7 linked regions of the Ovis aries genome follow. The main gene of each other region encodes a partner of the protein of the gene in region 6 in a complex. Links are inferred from orthologs where the notes say so. Each region holds a gene or a part of one and is shown on either strand. Other genes may lie near its edges. The genes, in order: DPF1, SMARCD2, ARID1B, SMARCE1, ARID1A, SMARCA2 and SMARCB1.

Region 1 (4,207 bases), on a different chromosome or scaffold from region 6:
CTTTTCTAATAAGTCAGCAAAGCTAGTCAAGGAAAAGAAGGGAGATGAGATCAGAAATGTAGTGGGGAGATTTCCCTGGTGGTCCAGATTGTAAGACTCTGTGCTCCTAATGTAAGGGGGCCAGGCTCCATCCTGGCTGGGAAGTAGATCCAGCACGCACACTGCAACTAAGAGTTTGCATGCCACACAACGAAGATCCTGGCAGCTGCAACTAAGACCCAGCACAGCCTAAATAAACCGAGGAAATGAGATGGAGGTTGGGGATCTGCTTAAGTAGGGCCCTGAGAGCATAGTGAGGACTTAGAACTTCATTCCAAGTGTGAAAGAAGTCATTGGAAGTTTTGAGCCAGACAGCGTGGTGATGCCAGCTGTTTTACGCAGTTCACTCTGGCTACCCTGGAGAGAATAGTCAGGGACTGTCCAGGGGGAAGATGATGGGAGGAGGGAGTCCTAGGACGGAGGCTGTGAAGGGAGAAGGGTGAGTAGATTCTGGATCTATTTGTGAATGTAGAGATAACAGGATTTGATAATGGACTTGAGGTGTGTGTGAAAAAAGAAGAGTCAAGGATGATTGATTGCACTTGGAACAAAAATCCATTTTCTTTATAATGGCCTACAAGGCCCTACATAATCTGGTTCCTTGCTCTCTGGCTAACCTTGTCTCCCTCCTCACTCACTCGACTCTTTTACACTAGCTTTCCACAATAATCTTTGAACTTGTCAAGCTTTTCCTGCTTCTGTGTATTGCATGGTGACAGCTTCTCAGGTTTCAGCTCAAATGTCACCTCCTCAGAGAAGCCACTTTCTTTATAGCACTTTCCACTCTCTAAAATTAACAGCTTGTTTGCTTGTTTATCATCTGTTTTTCCCCACTCACAGCTCACCTCCTTGAGGGCAGCAATTCTATCTGTTGTTCATGTTGTTTCCCCAGTGCCTAGAAGAGTGCCTGTCACTTAATAAATGAACAAAGGCATGGATTAACCCCTGTGCTTGTTTACAGACTGGCTTACAAAAGAAGAGACACCAGAGAAGTAGGCAAAGACAAGAATATACGACAGACTCTGGGATCATCCACACACCCAGGGGAGATCCAGAAATCAGCGGCCACCCATTCCCGCGCGCCCGTGGTTCTTGAAGGATGGAGAGCCAGAGCTGGGAAGGGAGCACTCCAGGGAAGGGAAAGGATGCTCTGGGGCGAGTCCAGTCCCGCCCTGTATCCTCAGTAGCCAATGGGCACACGGTTTTCCCGACGCCCCCTGGGACGTGTAGTCCGGACAGGGGCGCCCTCGGGCGCCGCCGAGCGCCCCTAGACTCCACGTCCCGTCGTGCGCCGGGAGGTGCGGGGATTGGCCGAGCCCCGCCCCCGGCCCGCCCCGCTTCGCTCGCGCTGCAGCCCCAAGAATGAATGAAATCGTAGCGCGCTGGGCGGCAGAGCGGGCGGCGCAGGCCGGGCTGGGCCCGCGCGCAGCGGCAGCGGCGCCCCGGGCCGGAGGCGGCCCAGCCGAGCGGGCCATGGCCACCGCCATTCAGAACCCGCTCAAGTCGTGAGTGTCCCCGCCGTCCACGTCCCTCCATCCGCCCCCAACCCGAACCCTGCCCCCGCCCTCGCTGGGGAGGGGGACGCAGTGGGCGGATGGTAGTTGAATGGGCCCCCCAGCTTGTCCCCCTGTCCCCCCGGGGCGTGCCGCCACCCCCTGTCTCCCTCCTGGGGCTGGGGGCAGGAGCCACTCCAGGGTCGCGGGGGCGCCTCTTTGTCGCTGTCAGTGAAGGAATGTGGCGCGGGCTGGGGGTGGCGGAGGCCGTTTCCCCACCCAGAGTGGGGGTAGGGGCTTCCTTCTCCTCCTCCGAGTCTCTCGGGGCGCCGGGTCTGCCCCTGCCTGGGGCTGGGAGTATGAATGCCTAAGTCCGGACCCTAGTCTCCCAGGTCTCTACCTCCTCAAAAGCATCTTTCTCTCTTTCCCCTCTCTTTCTCCCGGAACCTCGGTCTGCGCGGCCGCAGGGTGGGAGCTGAGACGTCGGGGTCCCCGATTCGATCCCTGCTGTCTCCCCCCTTTTTTTTCCTTCCCGGGTCTTCAGGACCTAAAGCCCCGACGCTCCGGTCAGTTTAGACCGTGGGCTCTCTGCCTCTCCCTGCCCGTACACATGTAATGAGAGCATCTCCTGTCTCCTTGGGGACCGGATGCCTCGGGAGAGGGTGCTGGGAGCGCCCTCAGTCTCCGGGGATTCCCTCCGTTTCTCCCTGTCCGCGTGCCTCCTCCGAGCTTCGCTTCCTCCCGGACCCCGCGGCTGGCATCCTGGACGCCTGGGTTCAAACCTACGCTGTCTCCCAGCCGTCTCCTCTCCTGGCCAGCCCTCGCTCTCTCCACTTCTTCCCTCTCTTTCCGTCTCTCTCGCTCCTTCCTCGGGATCCCGAACTCCTGGGTCCCAGTGCTCCCCGCCCCCTTCCCCAACGGTGACAGCGGGCTGGGAGTGACAGGCGCGCGGCCGCTCCGGCTCTCCCTCCCCGGCTGGCGCGCGCGGCCCTCCCCTCCCCCGCTCCCCGGCCTGGCGGGGAGGAGGCGGAGGGCGAACGCCCGCGGCGCCGCACAAAGGGGCCGGGGCGACCTCCCCCACCCTCCCCCCAGCCCCTCGCCTCCGCCACCTTGACCTTGAGCTACGGGTGCTGGGGGTTGGGGTGGGGGAGGGGCTCGGGGCGCCCCCCGCTCCCGCCCTCCGGAAAGGCTGTGCCTAGGGTGGCCGGACCTAAGGCCCCCAGTAGCTTCGGGTTTCTGATGGTGGGGGGAGTTGGGCCATGGAGGGGGCCGGGCCTTACAAGCTCGCGCCTACACGTGTGGCTTTGCGGAGAGCCAAGCCGGCTTGGAGGGCGTGTGTGGGGTTGGGGTAGGCGTGAGACAGTGTGTAACGGTGACACTTCTGCCTCCCTCTCGCTCTAATTCTTCAACACAGACGTGTTACCCCTATCAGGGACACCCTCAAACTGGCTGGCACTGGGCTCGTGTGCAGGTTGGTGGATCTATAGGTATCCAGACCTCCTCACTTTGACCTCTTGGAGTAGGTGTGGGGCAGCCATTGCGGGGGCCTGAAGACCTGAGTAAGCTTGGGGGTGGGAGTGCCAGTAGCCCTTTCTGCACTCACCTTCTGAGGGATCTACAGGAGGTGATGGGAGGGAAGGGGTTGGCTCCTGAGAGAATCCAGTCCCCTTAGGAATGGGCTCTGGAGGGTTCTGACTGCCTGTATTGGAACCTCCCCACCTTGAGCCTCAGCGTTACCATCTGTGAACTGGGGCATCATTACAGTTCTTATTATCTCATGGTTGCTGCTGTGATGTTTGTAAAGCACTTGGTACTGAGCCTGACTCTGACTAAATGTAGTGAGAGTGTCAGTTGTGTCTTGACTCTTTGCGACCCCATGGACTGGAGCCCGTAAGGCTCCTCTGTCCATGGAATTCTTCTGGCAAAGATACTGGAGTGGGTTGTCATTTCCTTCTCCAGGGGATCCTCTCGACCCAGGGATCAAACCCGGGTCTCTTGCATTGGAGGCAGATTCTTTACTGTCTAGTATCAATGTTGATTTCACTTGTGGTCCAGTTTCCACACAGGGCATGGGTGGATGGGGACAGGACTGTTTGGACATGGGAGTTTGACTGCGGCTGAGGGATCTGAGAGGGTGACTAGGGGTAAGGAAGGGGAGAGAGACCCTTCTCTAGGTGTCAGCTGTGGGTCAAATTGCACTGGTGGACAAGGGCCTCCAGGGAGCTGATGGAGTGTTCTATACTCAGGCTCCAAGCTGAGCAAAACTGATGCCAAGGTTCTGGGGGTGAGCCAGGTACCTGAGGCTAGAGGTGTGGGGGAGCAAGTGTAAGGATGTATTGGAGGCTGGTGGGAGGTGACAGAGGAAGGTGGCAAGGGCTCTTGGAGCTGAGCTGGTGGGTTGGGGGGGGGCAGGGCTCACTGTGGATGAGATTGGGGTAGCCACTGTAGGGGACCTGGAGGCCAGAGTGACTGTGAGGTGCCAGTGTCCCTGTGGCACTGTGTGATCTGTGACGCAGAGTGAAGTGCCTCACCCCCTTGCCATCTGCTCTAGGCCAGATGTGAAGCAGAGACCCACTCCCTGCTTTGGGGGTTTGAGGAGAGGGAGATCAAGGCCTTACCTGAGAGAGATGGGGGAGAGCCTGTGGAAGGCGTCTAAGACTAGAGGTGTGTGTGTG
Region 2 (3,995 bases), on a different chromosome or scaffold from region 6:
TCGGTACTCCAAAGTGTACTGAGTAGCAACAGCATTGCTTGAGAGCTTGTTAGGAATGCAGAATCTTGATCCCTAGCCTAGAACCCAAGCTTACAGAATCATAGTCTGCATTTTAAACAAAAGCCCAGCAGTTTCTTATGCTCCTTAGAGTTTGAGGAGCACTGGTCTGAATCATGGAGAGAAAGTCACAGAACACCTGGCAAGGCTGAAGCACTTTTGAGTACCTCTGACTTAGGGCTGATTTCTGAAAAGTTATTGAACTTTTGAAAGTCGCTATAAATCTTGGAGACAGACCTTATTTAACTCTAGGAGCCTTCTCGGAATGCAAAATTCCTTTGCCTAGGAACATCTCCTGTAGAGTAAAGTTATTACTAGGTTTCCTTAATGGGAGGCAGAGGCACATTCAAAATAGGCGATAAGAGCTCGGCGCTTGGCCAATTCAATCCTTCACACAGTGGATCGGGTCCGGAGCAGCCAAGTCCGCTGGCAGCTCTGGCTTTTAAAGTCAAGTTGGCAGCTGCCCTGCCGCAGAGAGCAGCTCGTTGTCTTTAATTCTAAAAACGTAGAAACGAGGACAAAACTATTTTCAGGGAGCGTGACCCGGTACCTCGGGGATTCGGCTGCACCTAGGAGAAATCAGCAACTACTCTTACACCGTACTCTTACCTCCTGACCTTCGACCTCTGACCCCCCCTACCGCATTTCCGTGTGCAGCTTCCGCTCCCGCCCCTCCGGTGGAGGGCCGACCCAAGGGATGTGGGCGGGGCTTCGGGGCTCGGCGGTTAGGGGCGGTGCCTGTTGGGGGCGGGTCTCGCGAGGGGCGGGATTTGAGGAGACATCCTCGCATTGGGCGACTAGGTATAGGCGGGGCTTGGTGCTGGGCTGGGTTAGGCGGGGCAGGGAGTTAGTTACCGCCTCTGGGTAACTGGACGCTGGCGGCCAAACCTCCGGAGGCCCGGGGAGGCAGCGGGCCCGTAGCAGATCCCGGATCCGGAATTTTCCGGGCAGGACCGGAATCAAGATCGGCCCTGCCCCAAAGTGGGTTTCTGAAGAACTCGCGAACTTGGATTAGGAAAGCCCGGAATCCGGATCAACAAAACCCAGAACCCGGAATTTAGATCGGAAAGTCCCGGAGCACGGAGTGCGGAGCGAACTCAGCGCGGAGCCCGGAGTCCGGACCGAGACACCGCCGGACGGGACGGAGCGATGTCGGGCCGTGGCGCGGGCGGGTTCCCGCTGCCCCCGTTGAGCCCTGGCGGCGGCGCGGTTGCTGCGGCCCTGGGAGCGCCGCCTCCGCCAGCGGGACCCGGCATGCTGCCCGGACCGGCGCTTAGGGGGCCTGGGCCGGCTGGAGGCGTGGGGGGCCCCGGGGCCGCTGCCTTCCGCCCCATGGGCCCCGCGGGCCCGGCGGCGCAGTACCAGGTGAGGAGGGCGGATGGGCGGGCGGCGCCTCGAGCACTCCCGGGGCTGGGGGCCTCTAGTGAGGGCCCTGGGGCAGCCTCCTGAATAGGGGGTACAGAAGCTCTGCATGCGGATTTCACGGGGCACGGTGGGGGGCACGGTGGGGGGCAAGGGCAGGGACCCTCGGGCTCGGCCAGGTGGTGGTGGAGGATTTGAGGGAGAAGGTAAGAGCGACTCGGGTGGAGGGTTTGAACCATTTGGGAGCGTCTGGGGGTCTTCCTTGGAACGGGGATTCTGAATAACTGAGAGATGGAGGCGTAGTCGAAGCTAGTGAGTTGTGGACGGGTGGAATGAGAAATCTAGTATAGATTCTCGGGTAAAGGGTCCTGGGAAGTGATGAGAAAGTTTTGGGAAAGAGCCCTCATTGAGAAAGCAGGGTTACCCTGCATTGGTCTTGGTCATACTCCAAGTCTGCTCTGGGTTTTTTTTTCTCCCCCTAGTTGGGAACTGGCAGAGTTTTAGCGTGTCTGAGATGGCTCCCAGCTGCTAAGGAGGAGGAAGAAGGGCCTGGCTTCCCAGGGGCACAGAAGGCAGAGGATGGGGATTGCAGCCCGTGCAAGGGGAATCTACTACTGGGCCAAGCCCTGGCACCTTCACACAGGGATGCCTCTGGGTTAGATCAGAGAGGGTGGTGGACAGGCCTGAGGAAGGAGGAAAGCCTAGCCCATTCTGGACAGACTTTCTGGCTTTCTGCCTGGTGTCATAGTGTCCAGGAGTTGATTAGTCTGGAGGAACAGAGAGGCACCACTGAGTACTGCTGGTCTGGGGCTGGAGGAGCCTGCAGAGAGTTGCCTCAAAGGGTTCTGTCTGACCCCTTCTGGGTCTGGCTTTGCAGAGGACTTCTCGGGTTGCAGCTTCAAAGGCCATGGAGAAACTGTGGGGTCAGTGTGTGAGGAACTCAGCCTCACACTGGGGGTGGGGCTTACCAGTCCCCAAGTTCATTGTTTCTCCCCAGAATGCTTGGGAATTGCCCTCATCCTTTTTGCTGCCCTCCTCTCCACTTTTAATTAGCCTTTAGGTTCTAAACAACAACATATTCCAATCTGTGTGCCCCAGCACTTGACACGGAAGTCTTGCTAATCTCTCAGGGCAGCTGGGAGATTCTCATGTCTCCCTTCCCTCTTGCACCCAGGTAAAGGTCCCCTAAGTGGTTCCTCATAGAGTAGGAGCCCTGGGTCCCCACTTTGTGAAGAGATGCTTCACTGGGACAGTGATTTTTCCTTCTTGCACCTCATGTTCCCTCTTCTCTCTGAACCAAGGATCTGGCTATTGACAGAGACAGACCTGGTCCCCAAGACTCCAGCTGGTTTTCATCTTTCCCATCTTGCTCTCACTCCAGGGGATTCATGGGCCCAGGGTGTCACTGAGGGATCCCTGGGTCTGTCATTCCAGCTCTTAGGTGAGTTAGCTGAGGAGCCTCCCTGGGGGCCGTTGGCCCCGGGGAAGGCTCCAAGGACTAGATAGGAGCCTCTCTAATTTCCTAAGCCTGGGGAAAGCCCTGAGAGGACGGATTCCAGAGTGATTTGGAGGGAGTGGCCTTGGACCGGTGGCAAGGCTGAGCTAACTGGCTGGGTACCCCAGGCTTCCAGGAGAGGGGACCTTGAGGAAGGCACGGAGCCTCTGCCTCTCTGGGCTTCCCCTGCAGCTTCTCATGGCCTCCTCCTCCTCCAGGGAAGGGGCATGTGTGTACGTGTAGGGGGAGGGAGGGCCCAGTTCATGTCTGCTGACTTCAAGGAGGATCCTATGTGGCCTCTTTCCAAGTCCAGTTATGTGACTTCTGGGAGAAGGGACTTGAGATCTGAGGAGCAGGGGGTGTGTCTCTGCTGGGGCATGTGAGGTGAGCTGCAGGAGTGAGGCTCTCAAGCCCACGTTGGGCAAATAGGGGAGCTTACTGGTGGCAGGGAAGTGATGACCCCACCTCTTTACAGAGTGTTTCAAGCTGTGGGTCACGGTCTACTAATGAGCTTAAAGAAAACATAATATTAAAATAAAAAACAAACACTACACCGCCCCCCCCCCCCCACCCCGCCCCACAAAGAACAGAGATTGCTGGGTTCACGCCAGAGAGTTGAAAATATTTTGTATGTCTGCAGAGGTAGGTTCTCTTCTTCTTGGTCCTTAGGCCCAGCCTTCAGAGGCACCAGGGGCCAGACTGGCCTCCCACCCCTGCTGTCCTGGGTGGTGGATCCAGAGTCCGGTTGAGGACATGGACTGTGCTGGGCTAAGGGAGAGGAGGTTACTGCTCACATCTGAGGCTCAGGGCGTGGAGCCAGGCCTCCCTATCCCTGCTGCAGGAAAGGGGTCAGGGAGCCTAAGAGATCAGGGCTCTGTTCTTTTTTAATTTTTTTTTAAGTCTTGGGTTGTTTTTTAGAAGAGGAGGAATTACTGGTGCTTCAGAGCCCAGGTGTGGAGCTTGGCCAGGCTGAGCTGGGACTGCAGGAACTGTAAGCCGCCTTTCCAGGGGCCCCTTCCCACCTTGGGAGAAGTCTGGGGCCCTGGGCGAGCTGGGGGGCCTCGCAGGCTTCCTCCAGGCC
Region 3 (3,500 bases), on a different chromosome or scaffold from region 6:
ATCTTTCAGTGTCCTTTGTTTTAAACATCTTAACATATGTTAAACAAAATTCAAACATTTTTTTCATTTGAGTCTTTTAAAACATAGTCACTTTGCCTCATGAACTTTTAATTCAATTATTTTAAAACAGGTCGAGTATTTACTTCAAGACTTTTTTCAGGATTAAAAACAAGTAAATAATTGAGGCTAAAGCCTTGCTCTATCAACTTAAATGTTCAGAAATACAATCGTTGTTTTGCTAACTGCCTTTTGGTTTGGACAGAGAGAGACATATGCCCAGAAAAATAAAAGTACAACATAAGAACATGAAGCAATAAACCTCACACGTATACATTTAGACAAACACACACAATACACATATGTGCACATACAAAGTTCCTATTTCATAAGGATTTCTACAGTGAGGTTAAAAACAAAAAAAGGAGGCGTTCTTTTTGAATGTTTAGATTTGGGCCAGTTTCTAGGCTTTATAGTCTCCTGCCTAGGCCTCGCTGTGTTAAATGGAGCCACAGAGGCGCCCTTCACCACTGGCTTTGGGTGGCTAGGTGCGGTGACTCTTCTCAGCCATTTCAAATAACCTCCTATAACTGACTGATTCCTTCCTCCATGTCTCATAGAACACAGTCTATCATTTACTGTTCTGGCCTCTCTGATAGAGAACATGTAACTTAAAAGGGAAGGCCAAGCACAGTGGCCCTCTGCTGCTCTCCACCCCCACTGACGGGGTGACTGATTCTGGCTCCGCGTGTGTGCACATGTCCGCACAGACCGCCCGCCCGATGGCATACCTGCTTTGCGCCGAGTTCGCAGCGGCCTGCATCACTGCGGCAGCTGCCTCCTGTGCCTTACGGTTCACGGTTGGCATTGGTGGCCCCATTCCTGGCCCCCCTTGCTGAGACATGCCAGGAGAACTGGGGGTCATGCTGCTCATGTTTCCAGGAAATGGTCTGTTCTGCATGCCTGTGGATGGCACTCGTCCCAGGGGTATGGTGCCACATGGCTGGCTTGGCCCTTGTCCATGCATCTGGCTGTTGGCATTGACGCCCATGCTGGGCCCTGGGCCGCTGTAGCTTGCACTGGGTACCCCACTGTATGTTGGGGGTCTGGAGTAGTTACCTAAACAAAAATCAAACACAAATTAGAGAGCCTTGTTCTTAATATCTGAACTTGTGAAAACATTCACTGGAAGTACTTTTGGTCCAACAATGTGATCAACACAGAATATTAGTCATTATCCTCATTAACCCTTCCCCATTGGTGTTGACGAGGCTGGCTGTCTCAAAACACATGATCTCTGTACATTCCAAAGGCAAAGAGCCACACAGGACACTGAAACATGGAGAGAAACCCAGGCTGACCTCTGAAACCATCTCTGCATGGATACAGATGGAGTGCTGAGTGGTGCTTCAGCTCATTCAACACCTCAGTTCTTACCAAAATTCAAGCAAAATAATTATTTTAGCCCCCAGTCCCTAGATGTACTCCAATCTGAGACTGCACCAGTACATTACTGCTGCTGCTGCTGCTGCTAAGTCGCTTCAGTCGTGTCTGACTCTGTGCGACCCCACAGATGGCAGCCCACCAGGCTCCCCCATCCCTGGGATTCTCCAGGCGAGAACACTGGAGTGGGTTGTCATTTCCTTCTCCAATGCAGTTAAGTGAAAAGTGAAAGTGAAGTTGCTCAGTCGTGTCCGACTCTTCGCAACCCCATGGGCTGCAGCCCACCAGGTTCCTCTGCCCATGGGATTTTCCAGGCAAGAGTACTGGAGTGGGGTGCCATCGCCTTCTCTACTACATGACAATAAAGTGTTCCGAAGGTGCAAGGAAACATGCACGTGTGGTCAAAATTACCCTTTAAGACCCCACAGGAGGGGCCATGCAGAAACCTGCAATGAGTCCAACCCAGTCGGCTTTTCTCTGGTGTCTAGAGACATTTTTTTTTTTTTTCTTGGCTTGAGCACCAAATAAAGTGGCTGGGTTGTACCCGGCACCATGTCTTTTAAGTAAATTTTAAGCATAAGCATGGCACTCAGCAAAGCAGGATGGTAGCACTACAGGAAGTAGGCAGGGTCTGAGACTGAGATGAGCGTCTGCAATCTCACACCCCCATCCCTGCTCACATGGGGTACATGCTCCTGGAGTAGATGGCCTGGACTAGTTCAATAGTTTTGTTTTCTCTCTCCTTCCACACCTTTTATTTTGGTTGAGGGTACATAAATTACAGTCAAGTAAATTGAAGGCATGTATAATGCCACTTTGATAACAATAACTGCTGAACCACACGCACTATGTGTGAGATATCAGGTTAAGTGTTTTGCATCTATGATTTCATTCATTCCTCCAATAATTATGCGAAATAATGACACGACCATGACTGCATTGACAAAAGAAGAAAATCAAGAACTAGTAGGTTACGATTCAAGCTCAAGCCAAATGATTATGGAACCAATATAATTAACCAATAAAATATGATGCCTCCTAATAAGTGACTGTGGAAATGAAATATATGTAAAAGGAGAAGTGTTTGGAGACTATGGATTAGTGTTTCTCCATCTGTCCTTATCACTTCCTGGAAGAATCTTATCTACATAACGTAACTGTTCTAGGCACAAGGGATGTAAGGTTAAATACAATGCAATCCCTATACTCAAGAAGTTCACAGCGTAAGAGTGTGAGAGTATGTGTGTGTATGTGTGTGTGTACAAGGTGAAGTATCAGGGGAAAGACAAGAAAAAATACAAAAGCAAAAACAGAAAAGATAATGCACTGTAGAAAGTGTAAGAGAAAGAAGAGTAAGTCCTTGTAGGGGAGGGATACAGGGGGTCATCTGTGGAGCGGGGCGGCACTGAGTGAAGGTCTTTGAAAAACCATGTTGGGTCTTGACCCAGGAATCATTGTGGGGCAGGCTCTGGGATCTGGGAGAACTGGGGCTGAGTGAAAACTCTGTGAATATACCAACCATGTGACCTTAGGTAAGTTGTTTTAATTTTTCTTGGTTTCATTCTTTCCTTTAAAAAAGAGGATCCTCTTTATTTTGGTCTACTTGAAGAGTTGCTGTTAGGATTAAATGATGTAATATGTGTGCTGCTGCTAAGTCACTTCAGTCGTGTCCAACTCTGTGCGACCCCATAGATGGCAGCCCACCAGGCTCCCCCATCCCTGAGATTCTCCAGGCAAGAACACTGAAGTGGGTTGCCATTAAAGTGTCTCAAATAAGGGTGCAGAAATGGTCGGGGGTTACTGGTGGGATGAGAGTAATGCAGAAGAGGATAGAGAGCCCCCGTGGGTGAGGCAGTGAACAGCAGCACTGACAGCGAGAGCAAACTTGAGAGCAAGACACTGCTGAGCTGGCGCAGCTGTGAGAAGGGCGCAGAGGGAAGAGGGCCCCGCTCAGCAGGATTCCCAGGCTGGAGCGTATTCTGAAGGTGAGGAGGAGCTTCTTCAGGTTTTTCCAGCAGAAACTGGGATAGATCAGCAACAACAATAAAAGCCAGCAATTC
Region 4 (4,230 bases), on a different chromosome or scaffold from region 6:
TTAATAGAGATGAACAAGAAAAGTGTTAAACTTGCCACTTATTTCTAATTAAAAAAAGAACTGAGCATAGGAGGTTGGCATTTCAGTAGTATGTTTCTTTAAATGTTGGGGTTGGTTCAAGGTAAGATGCAGAGTTATTTTATTTAGTAGGAAGTGCTGTTTTTTAGCTGAATTTTTCATCCTGTTGCTGTAATGATTGAGTGACTGTCACTGGAAGACATCTGGGTTTTTGTATCAAGGCCAGACTTGGCTATTACATTAACAAGAAAATTAAAACTTACTGTTGCAGGAGCTGGGGTGGGAGGTGGGGCATAAGATGGTCTTTCTGTTTGAAAGAAAATAAATAACTTCTTGTAAACAACTGAGATATAATACTATGCAACAAAACTACCAATGGTCCTGTTTTGAAGAAAAAAAAATGAGAGTATTTTGGAATTCCCATTTGCTAGGGCATTAGTCTCTTATTAATATAGATTGATAAATATAAAAAATGAAACTTACTTGACATTTTGGAAGATTAAGTTCTCAGTTCCTTAAGAATGAATCTGAGACACTAAAATAAAAAAAAGGAAAAAAAAAGAAAAATAAAGATAATCAAAACTCAGCAAGCATAAGAGAATGTTTTTCTAAAGAATAGGGTAGTTTGATATTTCTTTGTAAAATTACATTATCTTCTAGTAATCAAGCCTTTTAAATATTTTACTAGTTCTTTAGGTCACTCAGTTGATCAGAATTAAATGACTAAAACAAATGACAGGGGATATTAAAAAGTAAAATTAGACATGTACTTGCAAGTTTTTGTTTTTTTTTGATACTGAGCCACCTCTTGTATGGAAAACGTTTCGCTGATGCCATGTAAACATTTAATCAAATCGGTAAAAATACAATGACAAAAGAATATGATGTATTATTGGGGCCTACCTCAACAAGGCCTACCAGACACTGACAGCTCCATGACCAGCCACAGCTCTGCCTTCCTTTTAGGATAACAACTTCTTTCTAGTAAAACAGCATTTTACTCCTGAAGGCAGTGGAAAAGGTAACTGGTGTGACAAGAAACTTCACATTCTCTTATAGGAGTAATGGAGCTTCCCTGGTGGCTCAGCGGTAAAAGAACCCGCCTGCCAACGCAGAAGACTTGAGTTCAATCCCGGGGTTGGGAAGATCTCCTGGAGAAGGAAATGGGAACCCACTCCAGTATTCTCCCTTGGGGAATCCCATGGAGAGAGGAGCCTGGTACCCTATAGTCCATGGGGTCGCAAGAGTCAGACACAACTGAGCCACTAAAAAACAACATGATGGTAAACAGCTTCATAACCGCTGGGAATAAATTTCGAGAGTCTACTGGAAAAAACTCTTATTGATCTTTCTTAGCTCAACTCAAAATATATCTCCTCAATGGAGACTTCTGGACCTATCTGTACAAAATTAAATGTTTCCTCATTTGTACTCCAATTTACACAGATCAATATCATATTACACCTGCTAATATGGGGGCTGAATGGAGACAGGGACCAGCTAGTTCATTATTGCTGTCCCAGTACCTAGCTCAATTTTTACCAACTTCAGTCCTAGTAACACTAGCTCAGGACATGACCACACACACGTGAACTTGTTCCTTACCTCACTATACATTACACACCATGTGTACAAAGAGATGAACATTCATTTTCACAAAAAAGGCAAATAACTTCTATGACTACTAGAGTATTTTCATCCGACATTATGAGAAACAAACATGATTTTTTTTTTGCTCCTGTTTTGTATTTTAAGGGCATTTCTGGAGCATTATGAGTAAGAGGCCTGGTGTGGAAAGAAAGAAATCATTTATTTTCTCAATGGCCCAACCTGGGTCTCCCTCTCTCCTTAAGGTACATGCAGGACACCAGAGTCTAATGCAGATTTCCTTCCTGCTCAAGCTTGGGTGGGCTGTCAACATCCAGTAGGCCTTGCTGTGGGGGGCCCTGATAATATCTGCCACAAGCTCCCAGGTGTGTCACATTTTATTAACACTCTAAAATTACTGGTCTCTTTTGCTATACCATAAATTTCAAGAGTGATCTCGTACAATTGTCCACCACTGTATGCATCTCCGGTGCCTGGCATAAAATCCTGGAGAAGTTATTTGTTGAATACCTTATACGGGACAGGCTTACTACTTTCACACCATCTGGTTTAACAGTCACACTACCAACGAGGTGTGTACTGCTATTGCCATTTTACAGAGGGAAAAAAGGAGTCTCGTTCAGTATAAGTAACTTGGCTCAAGACACAGAGTCAGGAAGTGTCAGAGCTGGGTTTCAAACCCAGGCCAAACTGTTGCCCAGCTTTCGCTTTTCACTCCAAGCCACACCGTGAGTCCTCAGATCGCTGCCTGGGCAAGGGGAAACCATCTTCCTGGGGGTGAGGACCACGGGCTTAGCTTGCCCCAAGGGCTTCCTCTGAGACCGATTCGGTTTGGTTTGATGTGTAGGTGCACTTTACCAGCTACTCTACTGAAGAGGAGCATGCAGAAGCGCCTTGACCACTTCCGTGGGGTTAGTGGAAGGGGCACTTCTGGCCGCCCAAGAGGAGCCCCAGATGGGACTCTCTCCCCACCCTCGCTCCGCTAGGCCTCAAAGAGGCCGCAGCCGGCCCCCGGCCCTGGTCCCGCGGCCAAGCCTGAACCCCAGCAACCCTCAGCAACCCCAGCCAAGCCGGGACCCCACGCCTCTCCACCCTCCCGACCCAGCCGGGCCCAGTCGGAAACACTCACCCGCGGGCAGAAGAAGCGCCCGCAGCTCCGGCCTCGCTTCCCTTTGTCCCGCGCACGCCCCGCCCCTCGCGTCCCGAGCTTCCGCGCTCGCACTTTCAACACTCTTCTTAATTCCTTTCCAGGCCCCACCCGACTCTCTTCAGGAAAATAAGCGTTCTCGTGGGGACGCGGTGGTGTTTAGCACAGTCAAGGATTTTTTTCAGGCTCCATACGCTCCTCAAAACTCCCCGAAAGTCAGTACTTTGCCAGCCGGGCGCCGATTCGTCACTCCGGAGAGGGAGGAGGTGGCCCGGCCGCGGGTAGGCCCGGCCGCGCGGCCCCCAGCGAGCCGGAGCGGGGACGGGAGGCGCGGCGGGAGGCGCGAGGCTGAGCCGAGGGGGGGCGCGAGCGCGGCCTCAGCTTCCCCGCGCGGGGCCGGAAGGCGGCGGGGAGCGCGCCCGGTCGCCAGCCCCGGAACCTCTGTGGCCGCGCGGCCCGCGCACCACCCCGGCCGGGCTCAGGCCGCGCACGCCCCCCGTCCCTGCCCCCGAGAGTTTCTGGGTTTTTTTTCCCTTCCGGTCTTTTTCTTGACTCTTTCTCTGGGAGCTGGAGTGTATATACTTCACCAAGCCGAGGATGGAGGCGTGGAGAGCCGGGTTTACAGTTTCCGTCCTCCTGCGCGCCTCCCAGGGCTTCCTGCCTTAACCGCGGGCAAGAGCTTTGGCGAAAGCAGCGCAGATCTTCCCAGCTGTTCCCAAGCGCAAGGCTGGTGTAATTGTCACAGGTTTCTGAGCCAAGGCCCGGAGATGTAAATCTCCTTGCCCCCGGTTGTGTGTCCCTGCAGCGCTGGGCAAGGGGTCTGTGTCCTAAAGCGCCTTGGCTCATTCGGTTTCCTCTGCCAGGAACGACAGTCCTTCACTTTTGGGTTTAAACTCATCTGTCCTTCCGGATCCAGCTCAAATTCTGTCCCTGATGCCCTCCGGGAACTCCCTGCCTCACGCGCCCCTCCTCCTCCCAAATTAACAATTATGGCCTTTACCTAATACATTGTATCAGACTGTGTTTGTTATTCTCAGTACTCTATGAGAGCCTTGAAAGCAAAAATTCAGCGGTCTGCATTGGTCATCTTCCTATAGCCAGTGCCCAGTAAGGCCTTGAACCATTGTAAGAAGCTCAGTAAATCTATATTGAGGCAGGCTATGGTCTAGTCCAGGACTCTTTTCACTAAATCATGACCACGTTGATGTACTAGATAGCAGCCTCTCCTTGGATACATAAACACTTGACCGACGTGCGCCACTGCAGAGAGGGGAAGGATCTGAAATCACTTGAGAATGGTGTTGACGTTTAGAATGACTTGATTCTTCAGCTACCCTTAGCCACCATCCTGGGTGTGCCAGCAGGGACTAGGGTATCTCCAGAAGTATGCAAAGCCAGGGACAAGTGACCCTCTGTCCAGTTCTTCCACCTCCAATATTTTCATGTTCATGATTAGA
Region 5 (4,023 bases), about 170 Mb from region 6:
AAAGGCAGATAGTGGCAGCGATGGTTTGGGTTATCACTGGCAGAAAAGCAGAGTGTAAAAGTTTATGAGCTCATCAGGATTGTTGTACCATTACATCAGAGGCAATTATAAATGGCCAAGAGCAGGAGATGGGGAGCCAATCAGATCACAGATAGGATGTCAACCTAAGACCAACTGTCTCCTGGCTTTGACAGAAGGATTTTACCTCCATAATTCAAATCCCAAACCAAAGCAATCTGCACTTACTACTCCAATCACTCAGCTGTTTACCAGCACTTCCAGGGAGAAGCCCAGGCCACTGGGCCGACGGAGACTAAGACAGGAGACGACCTGGGCTGCCCAGGGTGAACCGAAGCCGGGCTCTAGCTGCTCCCAAGCAGGCCCCTGCCCTCCCTCGAGGTCCCCCCGAGCCCGAGGGGCCCCCTCCTTGAAAGCACAGATGGGGACCGGCCTAGAGGAAGGTAGGGAGGGCAGAGAGGAGCGGCAGGTGAGCAAAGAACTGTTCACTCAACTCCCGACCTCCGAGGGCTGCCTACACCCCTAACCTGAGCCCCCAACACCCCCTCACCCCGGGCCGGGCCCTTTTCCCGCACACCCGGCTCCGCACCCCTCTGAAGACCCCCCGGAGCTGGAAGGGACCCGGGGAGGAGGAGGAGGGGAGCAGACACCTCAAGGAAAGCCCCACACAAAGGCTGAAGGAGGGAAAGAGAGGAAGGCAGACGGGCAGCCATTTTAAGAGAGAAAGAGCGAGACAATGGCAGCTCCCCAGCAGTGGGGGCCCCAGACTGGGGGTAGCCCACGGCCGTGGCCCGCTCCCCGCCGCCGCCATCCACTCCCAGGACCCCCCCGCCCCACTCGCCACAGCCCCCCCTACCCCACCAGCCGTGTTACCTGCGGGGTCCGGGCGAGCGGCTGCCCCCCGCCGCCGCTGCTCCCAGGGCTCATGGGCGCGTGGTGGCTCCTTTGTTGGGCCCCTCCCGAGGCGGCCGCGGCCGCCGCCGCCGCAGCAGCAGCAGCCCCCCAGCACTGAGAGGCCATGTCCGCCGGGCCCTTGCCGGCGCCCCCGTCCTGGGGCCCGCCGCCGTAGTCGCCCCCGGGGTAGCCCTGGTAGCCCCGGGCCGAGCTGGGCGACGTGAGCAGTTGGTTGAGGGTGGGGGTGGCGGTGGGCTGGGGGGTTCCCCCTGCGGCCGCTGAGGGGCCGCCTCCCCCCATGGCCCCGAAGCGCTGCTGAGCGAAGGACGAAGACGACGAGGAGGCGGAGGCGCTGGAGGAGGGAGGCGGCTTGGAGCCGGCGGCCGCCGCCGCCGCCGCGCCGGAGCCCGGAGTGCCACCTCTCGGGGAGCTCAGCGCGTAGGCCTGGGGGGGCGGGGGGTAGGCGCTGCGGTTGGGGTAGTAGGAGTTGTACTGGTGGTTGGGGAAGCCGTGGTCGTGCGAGTTCTGCTGGGGCCCCGCGTAGGGCTCCAGGCCCCCGCCGCCGCCGCCGCTCTGCAGCGCTGCCAGGCCAGGGCTTTGTTGTCCGCCATGTTGTTGGTGGAAGACGGCGGCCGCGGCGGCGGCGACGGCAGACGGGCTCCGGCCGTAGGGTTGCCCGAAGCCGTAGGCTGGGGGCGGCAAGGCGGCCGCGGCTGAGTGAGGAGGCGCCCCCACCCCGTCGCTGCTGCCGCCGCCACCGCCGCCGGGCGGCTCCGTGAGGTTATTGTTCAGGGCGGGCCTAGGGCCCGCGTTCCCGTTCGAGTTCTTCAGGTCCGGCTCCGCGCCGGGCCCGCCGGCTCCGCCGCCGCCGCCACCCCCATTGCTCTCGGCCCCGTCCTGCAGCTCCTTTCCCAGTGGCTGCGGCGGCCCCACGGCGGGGCCCTCGCTTTCCTGCCCGGCGGCTGCCTTCATTTCCCCGCGCTCCGCCGCGACCGCCGCCGCCGCCTCGCCCCCCGCCTCCTCCCGCTGCTGCTGCTGCTGCTGCTCCGCTTTCTTCAGCTCCGAGGGCGGCGGCGGCGGATTGCCCAGGCTGCTGGCGGCGGCGGGGGCGACCTGCGCGGCCATGATCCCCGCTGTCTCGTCCGCGGAGAGACCCGGCCCTGTCTTCGTCTTCTCTCACCCCCCTCCCACCCCACCCCGCCCCGGGGCCGAGTCCCCCCGGGCTTCCCTCCCCACCCGCCCGGGCGGGCCTCGCGGGGCTCCGCGGCTTTTGCGCTGCGCTCGCTCGCTCGCTCGCTCGCTCGCTCCTCTCCCCCCCGCCCCGCCGGCTCAGGCTCCGGGCTGGCGGCGGCGGCGGAGGAGGAGGAGGCGGCGGCGGCGGCCGAGGCGCCGGCGGCTCAGCTGCTCCCGGCTCTGTAAGCTCGGGACCCGGCTCTCCCGGCTCATTCCCCCCCAAGCCCTTGCCTGGGAATGAGGGGGGCGGTGGAGGCTCCGCTCCCCAGGGCCTGGCCCCGCTGTGACTCTCCGCTTTCTGCTGCCGGAGAAAGGAGGGAGGGAGGGAGGGGAGGGAGGGAGGCGAGGGGGAGGGGGCGGGGAGGGAGGGAGGGAGCGGGGGGAGGGGGACCCGGGACGGGCGGGCTGGAGGGCGCGCGGCAGCAGCCCGGGCGCCGGCAGGCAGAGTCGGAGCGTGGGCCGGGCCGGGCGCCCTGCCTCCCCTCCCCGGCCGCGGCGCCGGGCCGAGGCTGCTGCGCGGCGGCGAGCGGGCGAGCGGGCGGGCGGCCGGACTGAGCGGCTAGAGCGCCCCACTCTCCTCCGAGTCCCCCTCACTCCGACACGAGGCTCAGCACTGCCATTTTACCCAGCGCCGTCGCGGCCGCCTGGCAAACCCGGAACGGAGCGCGGAGCGGGGCGCAGGCCGTGGAACGGACTCGCTCCCTTCCCCTCACAAAGGAGGAGGGGAGAGAACCAGCCGCGGCGGCGGCGGCGGCGGCGGCAAGCGCTCTGCCGCTCTCGCTCGGCAGCGCCGCCGCCGAAGGCTTCGGGGAAAACCCGGCCCGGAGCTCGCGCCTCTCCGGAGCCTGCGCGCCGCCTCCCTCCTGGCCTCCCTATCCAGGTCGGTCCCCTTCGCGCCGCGGGCAGCGTGAACTTTACTCGCGGCTGCAAAATTGGCCTGAGCCCGAGACCGCGGCCGCCTCGGCCCAGGCCTGACCCCCCCTGGCAGCGGGCCTGGTCTCTTGGCCGCTACTTAGCATCTCCGCGGCACTTTTCCTTCTTCAAAGCCTTTTGCAGACCTGCTCCAAAGACCCAGCTGAGCTTTACGTTGTATCCTCTTTGCAAGCTGCATGGAATGACAGATCATTGTTTCAGACTTTCCGTTTTCCCACTCTCTGCCCTCATTAGCCGGTCCTCACAGGCCCTGGGGGCACGAAGTTCCTGATCCCCATTTTACAGACTCATAAGATAGCGAAGGGGACCGGCCTATCACTTAGTCTATCACTTACAAAGACAAGGGCAGTGGAGGGTGACTTTAAAAAGTAGCAGAGTCCCCAGTGCTGCCCCTGTCTACTTAGCGTTAGAAATAATAGTAATAAAAAGAAAAGTGGTGCCATATACAACAGTGGGATCAGAACATCAGAATGGGTTTGAGATTCAAGCTGGTCATCTCAACCGATATAAAATGGTCACCCCTGAAGATATTTTGGGGACATATGACCGCCTTCTTGGAGGAAGACACAAGCCCCACCTTTGCCCACAATGACCAAGGTCCCGTCTCCAAAGACAGTACCTGTAAGACTGTAACAGACCACAGAAGAGACTCCAGGGACTGGTGGAACCTGAGTGTTCAAAGGAACCTCTGCCGAAGAGGGATGACCAAGTAGAGGGAACCGTTTTCTCCTTAAAAAGAGAGAAAAGGTGCAGTCTAACACCTCACTCAGAAAACAGATGCAGCCTAAATTTGTTTTTCTATCCTTCATTGTAAGGAATCATTAAAGTTTACTGTTACATTCTAAGAGATGCTGAATGGGAGATGCTGAGTGAACTGGAGGTATACACAGAAAATTCTAGATTCACAGGCTCCACCACATCTCAGCAGCAGCCTTGTCCTCTGAC
Region 6 (3,500 bases):
CTAGTTTTTTTCTTACCACATTTGAGGGAAGATTTTGTTGTATTGATTAATTCTGGAAAATGATTTTTATTTCACTCTTAGTTTCTTTCTTAGCAACTTTGAGGTAAAACGAATTATTGTACTTAGTACAACTAAGTGTCTCATCCTTATAATTTTGCCATGCCAGGAGACATAGTTGAAAAGAGCGATTTGATGAAGTGTGTTACACAATTACATTTAGATTAGATTGTCTAATGTTTTGGTCAGTTGTATTAGGCATCGTGTGATTTATCACGGGTAAGCTATAATTGGTGACGACCTTAGGAAAGAGGACAGTCCAGAAGGCAGGAGACGTGACCCATTTTAACACCTGGTTGTATCCCTTCTCCCATGAAATGTCAGTAGCTATAGTAGGAAGTTTTTCCTCCAGTGATAGATGCAAAGTTGGCAGAAAGGTGTTAGGGAGGTACTTTCATAATGAACAAACTACCATTTTGCACCAGCATTACAATTTGGAGGTGAATTTTAACCTCGTTAAGAAGGAAAACCGTTAATGATGAAGTTAAGTATATGTTATTGATACTTAAAAATGTTTATTGTTATAAATAACATCCTGGGATTTGAATTTCTGCTCATCTTGCAGATGAGCGGGCTGATTGCAGGGGCATTTTCTTAGGCTAACTTCTGTGATCAACTAGAACCCTAATGCCTTCATGATTTTTGTGCTCGATTACAGAGTAGGGATTTCGGAAATGAGAGTGAGCAGCTTTTCCATTTCTCTTCAGGGCAGGATTACTCAGAATGGAGTTCTACATCTCACCAATTGATAGAACAAAACCTACTCTTGTCTTAGGGGATCAGGCTAAATTTGTTTCCCTCTCCAAATGGCAATTTGAGATAAAAGGAACTGTATCCTTTATTTTCTCTAGTCTTTCAAATGATGATGTTGAGTCCCCAGGCAGCGTGGGTCAGATATTCGTGAGCCTCTGTAATTCCACATAGACACAGAGTGCAGCTTCAGCTCAAACTTGATTAAGTGTTGAAACACACGGCAGATGCCTAATAAACACCTATGTGATGACCTTTAAAATAATTGTGATGCAGGTGGATTTATTAATGGCAAAGACCTTTAATTTAATGTTTTACATTGTGTCTTAGAATGCCTTTGAGTTGATGAGTTAGCCCTCAATTTGAATGGAAGACAATGTTTTGGGGTACAGCAAACCACTCTGTCCTCTCCTTCCTCTTGGATCTCCCTTCAGCAATGTGCAGTCCTATATTTTTCTAGGGATTCTTTGGCCAGACTCCACAGTTCATCTCTTGAAATAAGTTTCTTGAAAATTTTATTGCATTTTGACTTTTCTTTCTTAAGTATTCTTAAGTTTTCCATTTAAGTCTCTTTATCACCCAAACAGATTACTTTCATTTTTATATTACATTGTAAATGGTTCTGGGCTTCCCAGGTGGCCTTAGTGGTAAAGAACCCATCTGCCAGTGCAGAAGACGTAAGAGGCATAGATTTGATCCCTGGGTTGGGAAGATCCCCTGGAGGAGGACATGGCAACCCACTCCAGTATTCTTGCCTGGGGAATCCCATGGACAGAGGAGCCTGACGGGCTACAGTCCACAGGGTCACAAAGAGTTGGACACACCTGAGGAGACTTAGCTTGCAGCACATAAATGCTTCTAGAAGATTTTGGAAGCTTTCAAGCCTTTAACTTATTTTTATATTACTACAACAAAATTAATATTAGACCATGGAAAGAACATATGCCTTGGAATCAGGTGAATCTTGGTTACCAAGATCTAATTGTGTGACATGGTGTAATGTGCTTACTCTCATTTTAAAAAATGAGGCGACAGCACGTATCTTCTGGGAGTGTTGTGAGGACTATAGAAAAAAAAATGTATCCTCTAACTCTTCTTACCATTTCTGTGCTCCCATCATCCTTATATCTACTGGCCAGACCACCATCTTGATTTTGATTTACCGGCATCCACCTTACACACACAGACACACACACAGACACACACACACAGACACACAGACACACACACACACACACAGCATGAGATTAATCTTCAGGCATGCACTACAGCAACTGACTTAACCATACACTCCTTGTTGGCTTCCTTCCCTTATTTTACCTTTCCACACTCTTGTCAGTATCCCTGCACCTTTCAGATAAATCAGCTGCACTCAGTCTTTCCATCAGGCTCTGATTCCAGGGTAAACTTGGCTAAAATAGCATGTACAGTGCCTTGCTTAGTGCCTACAACCATGGAGGCCCTCAATAATGGCAAATTACTCATAAAGTGCATAATAATAAACCAAATAATATCCCCGTAAGAGAGTCCTCATTCTGCACTGCAGTACAGCAGAGAGCTTCAAGTTCTGGTCTCTAGGTTGGAGCTCCTTTTAATGTATAATACTGTCCCCTGTGCCCTTCCTCTAGGTGTACAACAGCCACTACTAGGTCGTGTCACCATCTAGGACACGTGAAAGTGAAAGTGAAAGTCGCTCAGTCGTGTCTGACTCTCTGCGACCCCATGGACTATACAGTCCATGAAATTCTTCAGGCCAGAATACTGGATTGGGTAGCCTTTCCGTTCCCCAGGGTATCTTCCCAACCCAGGTCTCCCGCATTGCAGGCGGATTCTTTACCAGCTGAGACACAAGGGAAGCCCAAGAATACTGGAGTGGGTAGCCTATCCCTTCTCTAGCAGATCTTCCTGACCTAGCAATTGAACCAGGGTCTCCTACTTTGCAGGCAGATTCTTTACCAGCTAAGCTATCAGGGAAGCCTCTAGGACACATCGGGCTATCCACTGCTTGAAATGTGACTAGTCCCATTGGAGATGTACAGTAACTTAATATGGAAACAAAAATGTAAAATCTCTAATAATTTTTATTCTTTGAAATGATAATATTAGGGGTATGTTGGTTTAAATTATATATTATTACAATTTTGTCTGTTTCTTTTAATTTTATATGTATATATATATTTGATATACATAAATTTTAAATTATATATAATCCCATTAAGTTACATGTGCTTTAAATTTCTCTCAGTCAATGCTGTTGTGGAAAATCGTCAGGATCTCCAGGAATGTTTCTCTTTCAGGGTCATGGGGGGCAGCCTGTGACCTCTCCCTTTGTGTTTTATTCCAGGTTACATGTCGCCGCACCCATCTCCGCTGGGAGCCCCAGAGCACGTGTCCAGCCCTATATCAGGAGGCGGCCCGACCCCACCACAGATGCCACCGAGCCAGCCAGGACCCCTCATCCCAGGCGACCCTCAGGCAATGAACCAGCCCAACAGGGGTCCCTCTCCTTTCAGTCCCGTCCAGCTGCATCAGCTCCGAGCCCAGATTTTAGCTTACAAGATGCTGGCCCGGGGCCAGCCCCTCCCTGAAACACTGCAGCTTGCAGTCCAGGGGAAAAGGACGTTGCCTGGCATGCAGCAACAGCCGCCGCCACAGCCCCAGCCCCAGCCTCAGCCGCAGCAGCCACAGCCGCA
Region 7 (4,191 bases), on a different chromosome or scaffold from region 6:
GGGGCCCCCCTGCTCCATCTCGTCCTGCTTGAAGGCCTACAGTGGCTTCAGTCTGCTCCCCATTTCCCCAGCGGCCTCTCAGACCATCGTCCACCAAGCGCTGCTCACATTTTCCGATCCTGCCACTGTCAGGACACAGAACCGAACTCAAGGTTACCGTGGCCGACTCCTCACTCTCTGGGGTCTACTTGCCTGCCACCCTCAGAGAGCCCAGGATCCGCCTGCAATGCAGGAGTGAGTGAAGCCACTCAGTCGTGTCCGACTCTTTGCGACTCCACAGACTGTAGCCTACCAGGCTCCTCTGTCCATGGGGTTTTTCAGGCAAGAGTACTAGAGAAGGTTGCCATTTCCTTCTCCAGGGGATCTTCCCAACCCAGGTCTCCTGCAGAGCAGGCAGACTCTTTACTGTCTGAGCCACCAGGCAATGCAGGAGACCTAGGTTCAGTCTCTGGGTGGGGAAGACCCCCTGGAGAAGGGAATGACAATCCGCTCTAGTATTCTTGCTTGGGGAATCCCATGGCTACAGCCCATAGGGTGCAAAAAGACATGACGGAGCAAGTCACACACACACAAACACACACACACACACACCCTACACACACACACGCCCCTACACACACACACGCCCCTATACACACACACACACGCACCCTACACACACAGACGCTACACACACACACACCCCCCTACGTGGATGCTCATAGCGGCGCCTCTCATAGCTGCCAGGTATCAGGTGCTGACATGGGCAGCCATCAGCAGTGGGCCGTTTCTGACCTACTGCCGTGCTCCACCGGATACACGGGTGCCTCCCTGTGTGTCGGCCCGCTGGGCTGCCAGCGCCCCAGGGCAGGGGGAGGCACAGGGCACAGAGTTAAGGAGAGGACGGGGACGTTCGCTCCTCCCCAGCTCTCAGCGGGCAAAACAGACGCCGGCTGGGCCTAGGAATCCTGCAAGCCCGGTAGTCTCAGCCCATGCCCGCCCCATCCCCAGAGCCACAGGAACGGGGGCCGGGGGGCTGGCCCGGAGCTGGGATACTGGTCCCTGGGCCGCCCATGTGCTCAGCCGCACAGCGTCCTCTGGGCGGGGAAACTGAGGCAAGGGAGCCTCTGGCTTCCTCCCGGCCTTCCGGGCCTCGCCTCGTGCCTCCTCACCAGGGCAGCACGCCAGCCCCGGCTGTGAGACGGGGAAGGGCGCCGCTCGAGTCAGGGCGGCGGCTGCTATTTCTGCCCGTGAGCGGCCTTCCCTGGTACCTCCACTTGGGAGGCGGCCGGGAAGGCCGAGAAACGGGCCGAGGCTCCTTTAAGCGGCCCGCGGGGGCGCGCTCGGCCCTTTTGTCAGGGCGGCGACGGCGGCGGCGACGCGCGCGTCAGCGTCAACGCCCGCGCCTGCGCACTGAGGGCGGCCTGCTCGTCTTCTGCGGCGGCGGCGGCAGAGAAGCCCAGCGGCGGCGCGAGCGCCCCCGGCCCGGCCCGCCCTTCACCTCCCGCGTCGGCTTCCCCGGGCTAGGAGCGCCCCCGGCCCCGCCTCGGCCCTCCCGATCCTCGCAGCCCGGCCGTGGCCGCCCGCGTCTGCCGCCGCAATGATGATGATGGCGCTGAGCAAGACCTTCGGGCAGAAGCCCGTCAAGTTCCAGCTGGAAGACGACGGCGAGTTCTACATGATCGGCTCTGAGGTAGCCGATCCTTGCCCTCCGGGCCTCCCGGTCGGCCCGGTTCCCGCGGGAGCCTCGGGGCGGGTCTGCGCGCCGGGAACGCGCGTCTCCATTCATCGCGGAGGGCCTGCGTGCGCGTGCGCGGCCTGGCGCATCGGGGCGTGGCCTGTTGGGGCGTGGCTGAGCAGCCCCGCCCCCGCCGTCTGGGCACGCCCACCCGTGTCCCGCAGGGACGCGGTGGGCGGATCGGGTCGAGAGCGTGGTCTATCGGGGCGTGGTCGAGCAGGCCCCGCCCCGCGCTCCGCAGTCTGGGAACGCTCACGCGTGTCCCTGGCCGCGGGGGTCGCGGTGGCCCCGGGTCCGCGCTGAGTTCCACAACTCCAGCCGGACGTACAGAAACGGGGTGTTGGGTTATCCCTTGCTGCACACGGGGCGAGGAGTTGGACCCCTCGCACGCTCCCTCCTCTCCCTCGTTGCCCCAGCTGGAATCCTGAAACCGCTGATTCGAAACACCGAGCTTAGTCGGGGGCTCACCCGCTTGGTGCTCTTTGACTTGGAGTTGGGCGGGTGGGCGTTCTGATCTTCCATTATCAGTGAGAAGACAGGTTGGGAGAACGATGCTTGATTTTGGATGGCTAGGGCCCAGCCAGCCCTGAGCTAGATCCATCAGCAAATGGGAGGCACCTGGCACTTCGGCTATCTTGGACTAACTCTGAGTTAGTGCGAGGGAACGAGCGCGGAACCCCTTCATCCTTACCTAAACAGTGACCTTGCAGCACTGTGAGCCGGCTGGGTTAGCAGTGTGCACCAAGTATACGAAGTTCTTCCAGTGTCCCTCAGCCTTTGGCAGTCTCCGGCGTGTGCGTGTGTGTCCACACACACATTTTAAAATTACGGATCCGCAGTTCAGGTGTGCAAGCGCCGAGCAGCAGTGCCTCCCTTTTGTAGAGAGGCGAGTGCGGGTCTTGGGGAGTTACAGCAGTCACAAACGCCGCCGACGCTTGCTTCTCCTGGCAGCAGTTTTCAGTTTTACGCATTTCACTCTTTTGTTCTTTTTTACCATTTTTTTTCCCTCTTCATGATGGAATACGCTGTGAATGAATTAAGCCTCATGATGGTCACACTCAGTGAGGCTTTCGGGAGTCCCTGTGACTCCCTGTGGCTTGTCTGACTTGTATTGAGTTAGGAGACCCATGTTGTCAGTAGCATCAGAACTTTCTGTGTTTCCTTTCCTCACCGGTTTTTATGAAACACGGGGCCGGATGCAACGTACTTTCACATTATCACAGAAACGCTCCTCTTGACAGCTGGCCGTACTGGAGAGAGGCGCCACTGCCTGCCACGTGCCGCAGCTCAGAAGGGTCTTCGCCAGCCTGTGGGCACGGATGCGGCATGTGGTGACTGGCAGGTTAACTAAAGAAACCTTCACCGGATCTAACGGGCAGGAAGGAAAAGCGCTTGGTTTAGCACTGGCTCTGAGTCGGTGGTACTTTTGAAAATCAAGCTTGTGTTTACTGGGTGGAGCCCGGTGTCAGGTGGGCAGAGCGTGAGGAGCTCTGGCTCCAGCCTGGTGTCCATGGCACTTGTCTCGGGCATCTGATGAGATGCTTAGGCTAGACAGCTTCTGCAACTTGCCCTGCAGCACATCTCAGACTGAGAAAGACAACTGCAGTCTTGGTGAGTGAGAAGATTTGTCCTGAGATGCAGTTTATGGAGACCAGACGGCAGGAGGGAGAGGCAGTTGCCGTCCGGGGCCTGACTTTACAATGTTCAGACCTCAGGAGGCCTGGGCAGGGTTCAGGGCTAGACTGGCATCTACTCACAGCCAGCAGCTCTTCTGACAGCAGGGGTGCTTGGCCCCCGGGCGGTTTCCCTGGGCAAACAGCAGGCGCTGGTTTCCAAGAGGCACGCCAGGCAGAGCAGTGCCTACAGCGCCCCACACCACTCGGGGTAGCAGCCTTGGGAGGGTGTCTGCAGCTGCCCCAGTCCTGCCCCCCCCAGGGGCAGCTGTCATCACCACACAGAGGCACAGCCGAGGGGAGCCCAGGGGGCCTCCATACCAACACCTTCGTTTTCCATTTGGGAAACCCAGGTCCAGAGGGGGCAAAAGCTTGTGCAGGGAAAACCCAGGGGGCAGACTGAGTCCCCTGAGTTCTGAAGGGACCTCGGGAAGGGCCTAGGAGGCTGGGAAGCCTGCAGGACCTGCACGGTGGTACTGGGGGCATTAGGGTCAGTGTCTTGTCAAAAACCTCCTAGAAACTCTATGTTTACCCCCAGATGGTAACCACGCTCAAGCCAGGTAACTCGAAAGGGCCTGCCCCTGCAGCAAGGAGCAGGAGGGACGTTGTGGCCGCTCTCTCACGCTGTTCAGCAGCCGTGGTTGTGTAAATCTCTAAACTCATGAAAAATGGAGAAACTAAAAAAGAAAAATACTATAGTGGGGTAGGTACATGGGAAAATAGCACAAGTGGGTCCTTCGAGGGTGAACTTTACAGCTGATGAACATCTGTCAAGAGGAGTAGGGAGGCTGAGAAGAGGGC

What was found.
Region 1: SMARCA2 (region 6) and DPF1 share a complex: the UniProt entries of both Homo sapiens proteins name them as parts of the neuron-specific chromatin remodeling complex. The link is inferred for Ovis aries from reciprocal best matches to the Homo sapiens genes SMARCA2 and DPF1.
Region 2: SMARCA2 (region 6) and SMARCD2 share a complex: the UniProt entries of both Homo sapiens proteins name them as parts of the BAF complex. The link is inferred for Ovis aries from reciprocal best matches to the Homo sapiens genes SMARCA2 and SMARCD2.
Region 3: SMARCA2 (region 6) and ARID1B share a complex: the UniProt entries of both Homo sapiens proteins name them as parts of the neuron-specific chromatin remodeling complex. The link is inferred for Ovis aries from reciprocal best matches to the Homo sapiens genes SMARCA2 and ARID1B.
Region 4: SMARCA2 (region 6) and SMARCE1 share a complex: the UniProt entries of both Homo sapiens proteins name them as parts of the BAF complex. The link is inferred for Ovis aries from reciprocal best matches to the Homo sapiens genes SMARCA2 and SMARCE1.
Region 5: SMARCA2 (region 6) and ARID1A share a complex: the UniProt entries of both Homo sapiens proteins name them as parts of the neuron-specific chromatin remodeling complex. The link is inferred for Ovis aries from reciprocal best matches to the Homo sapiens genes SMARCA2 and ARID1A.
Region 7: SMARCA2 (region 6) and SMARCB1 share a complex: the UniProt entries of both Homo sapiens proteins name them as parts of the BAF complex. The link is inferred for Ovis aries from reciprocal best matches to the Homo sapiens genes SMARCA2 and SMARCB1.

The regions. Positions count from the first base shown.
Region 1 is NC_056067.1:47,416,709-47,420,915, reverse strand, and holds the start of DPF1 (zinc finger protein neuro-d4), read left to right. Parts: upstream 1-1,407; 5' UTR 1,408-1,512; coding exon 1,513-1,544; intron 1,545-4,207. UniProt on the Homo sapiens protein: May have an important role in developing neurons by participating in regulation of cell survival, possibly as a neurospecific transcription factor. Belongs to the neuron-specific chromatin remodeling complex (nBAF complex).
Region 2 is NC_056064.1:47,814,647-47,818,641, reverse strand, and holds the start of SMARCD2 (SWI/SNF-related matrix-associated actin-dependent regulator of chromatin subfamily D member 2), read left to right. Parts: upstream 1-1,195; 5' UTR 1,196-1,206; coding exon 1,207-1,422; exon of another isoform or gene 1,423-1,625; intron 1,626-3,995. UniProt on the Homo sapiens protein: Involved in transcriptional activation and repression of select genes by chromatin remodeling (alteration of DNA-nucleosome topology).
Region 3 is NC_056061.1:81,522,612-81,526,111, reverse strand, and holds part of ARID1B (AT-rich interactive domain-containing protein 1B), read right to left. Parts: intron 1,117-3,500; coding exon 789-1,116; intron 1-788. UniProt on the Homo sapiens protein: Involved in transcriptional activation and repression of select genes by chromatin remodeling (alteration of DNA-nucleosome topology).
Region 4 is NC_056064.1:40,602,566-40,606,795, forward strand, and holds the start of SMARCE1 (SWI/SNF-related matrix-associated actin-dependent regulator of chromatin subfamily E member 1), read right to left. Parts: upstream 2,801-4,230; 5' UTR 2,756-2,800; intron 554-2,755; 5' UTR 509-553; coding exon 502-508; intron 326-501; coding exon 282-325; intron 1-281. UniProt on the Homo sapiens protein: Involved in transcriptional activation and repression of select genes by chromatin remodeling (alteration of DNA-nucleosome topology).
Region 5 is NC_056055.1:240,201,273-240,205,295, forward strand, and holds the start of ARID1A (AT-rich interactive domain-containing protein 1A), read right to left. Parts: upstream 2,801-4,023; 5' UTR 2,038-2,800; coding exon 892-2,037; intron 1-891. UniProt on the Homo sapiens protein: Involved in transcriptional activation and repression of select genes by chromatin remodeling (alteration of DNA-nucleosome topology).
Region 6 is NC_056055.1:70,296,004-70,299,503, forward strand, and holds part of SMARCA2 (probable global transcription activator SNF2L2), read left to right. Parts: intron 1-3,151; coding exon 3,152-3,500. UniProt on the Homo sapiens protein: ATPase involved in transcriptional activation and repression of select genes by chromatin remodeling (alteration of DNA-nucleosome topology).
Region 7 is NC_056070.1:71,287,378-71,291,568, forward strand, and holds the start of SMARCB1 (SWI/SNF-related matrix-associated actin-dependent regulator of chromatin subfamily B member 1), read left to right. Parts: upstream 1-1,391; 5' UTR 1,392-1,579; coding exon 1,580-1,672; intron 1,673-4,191.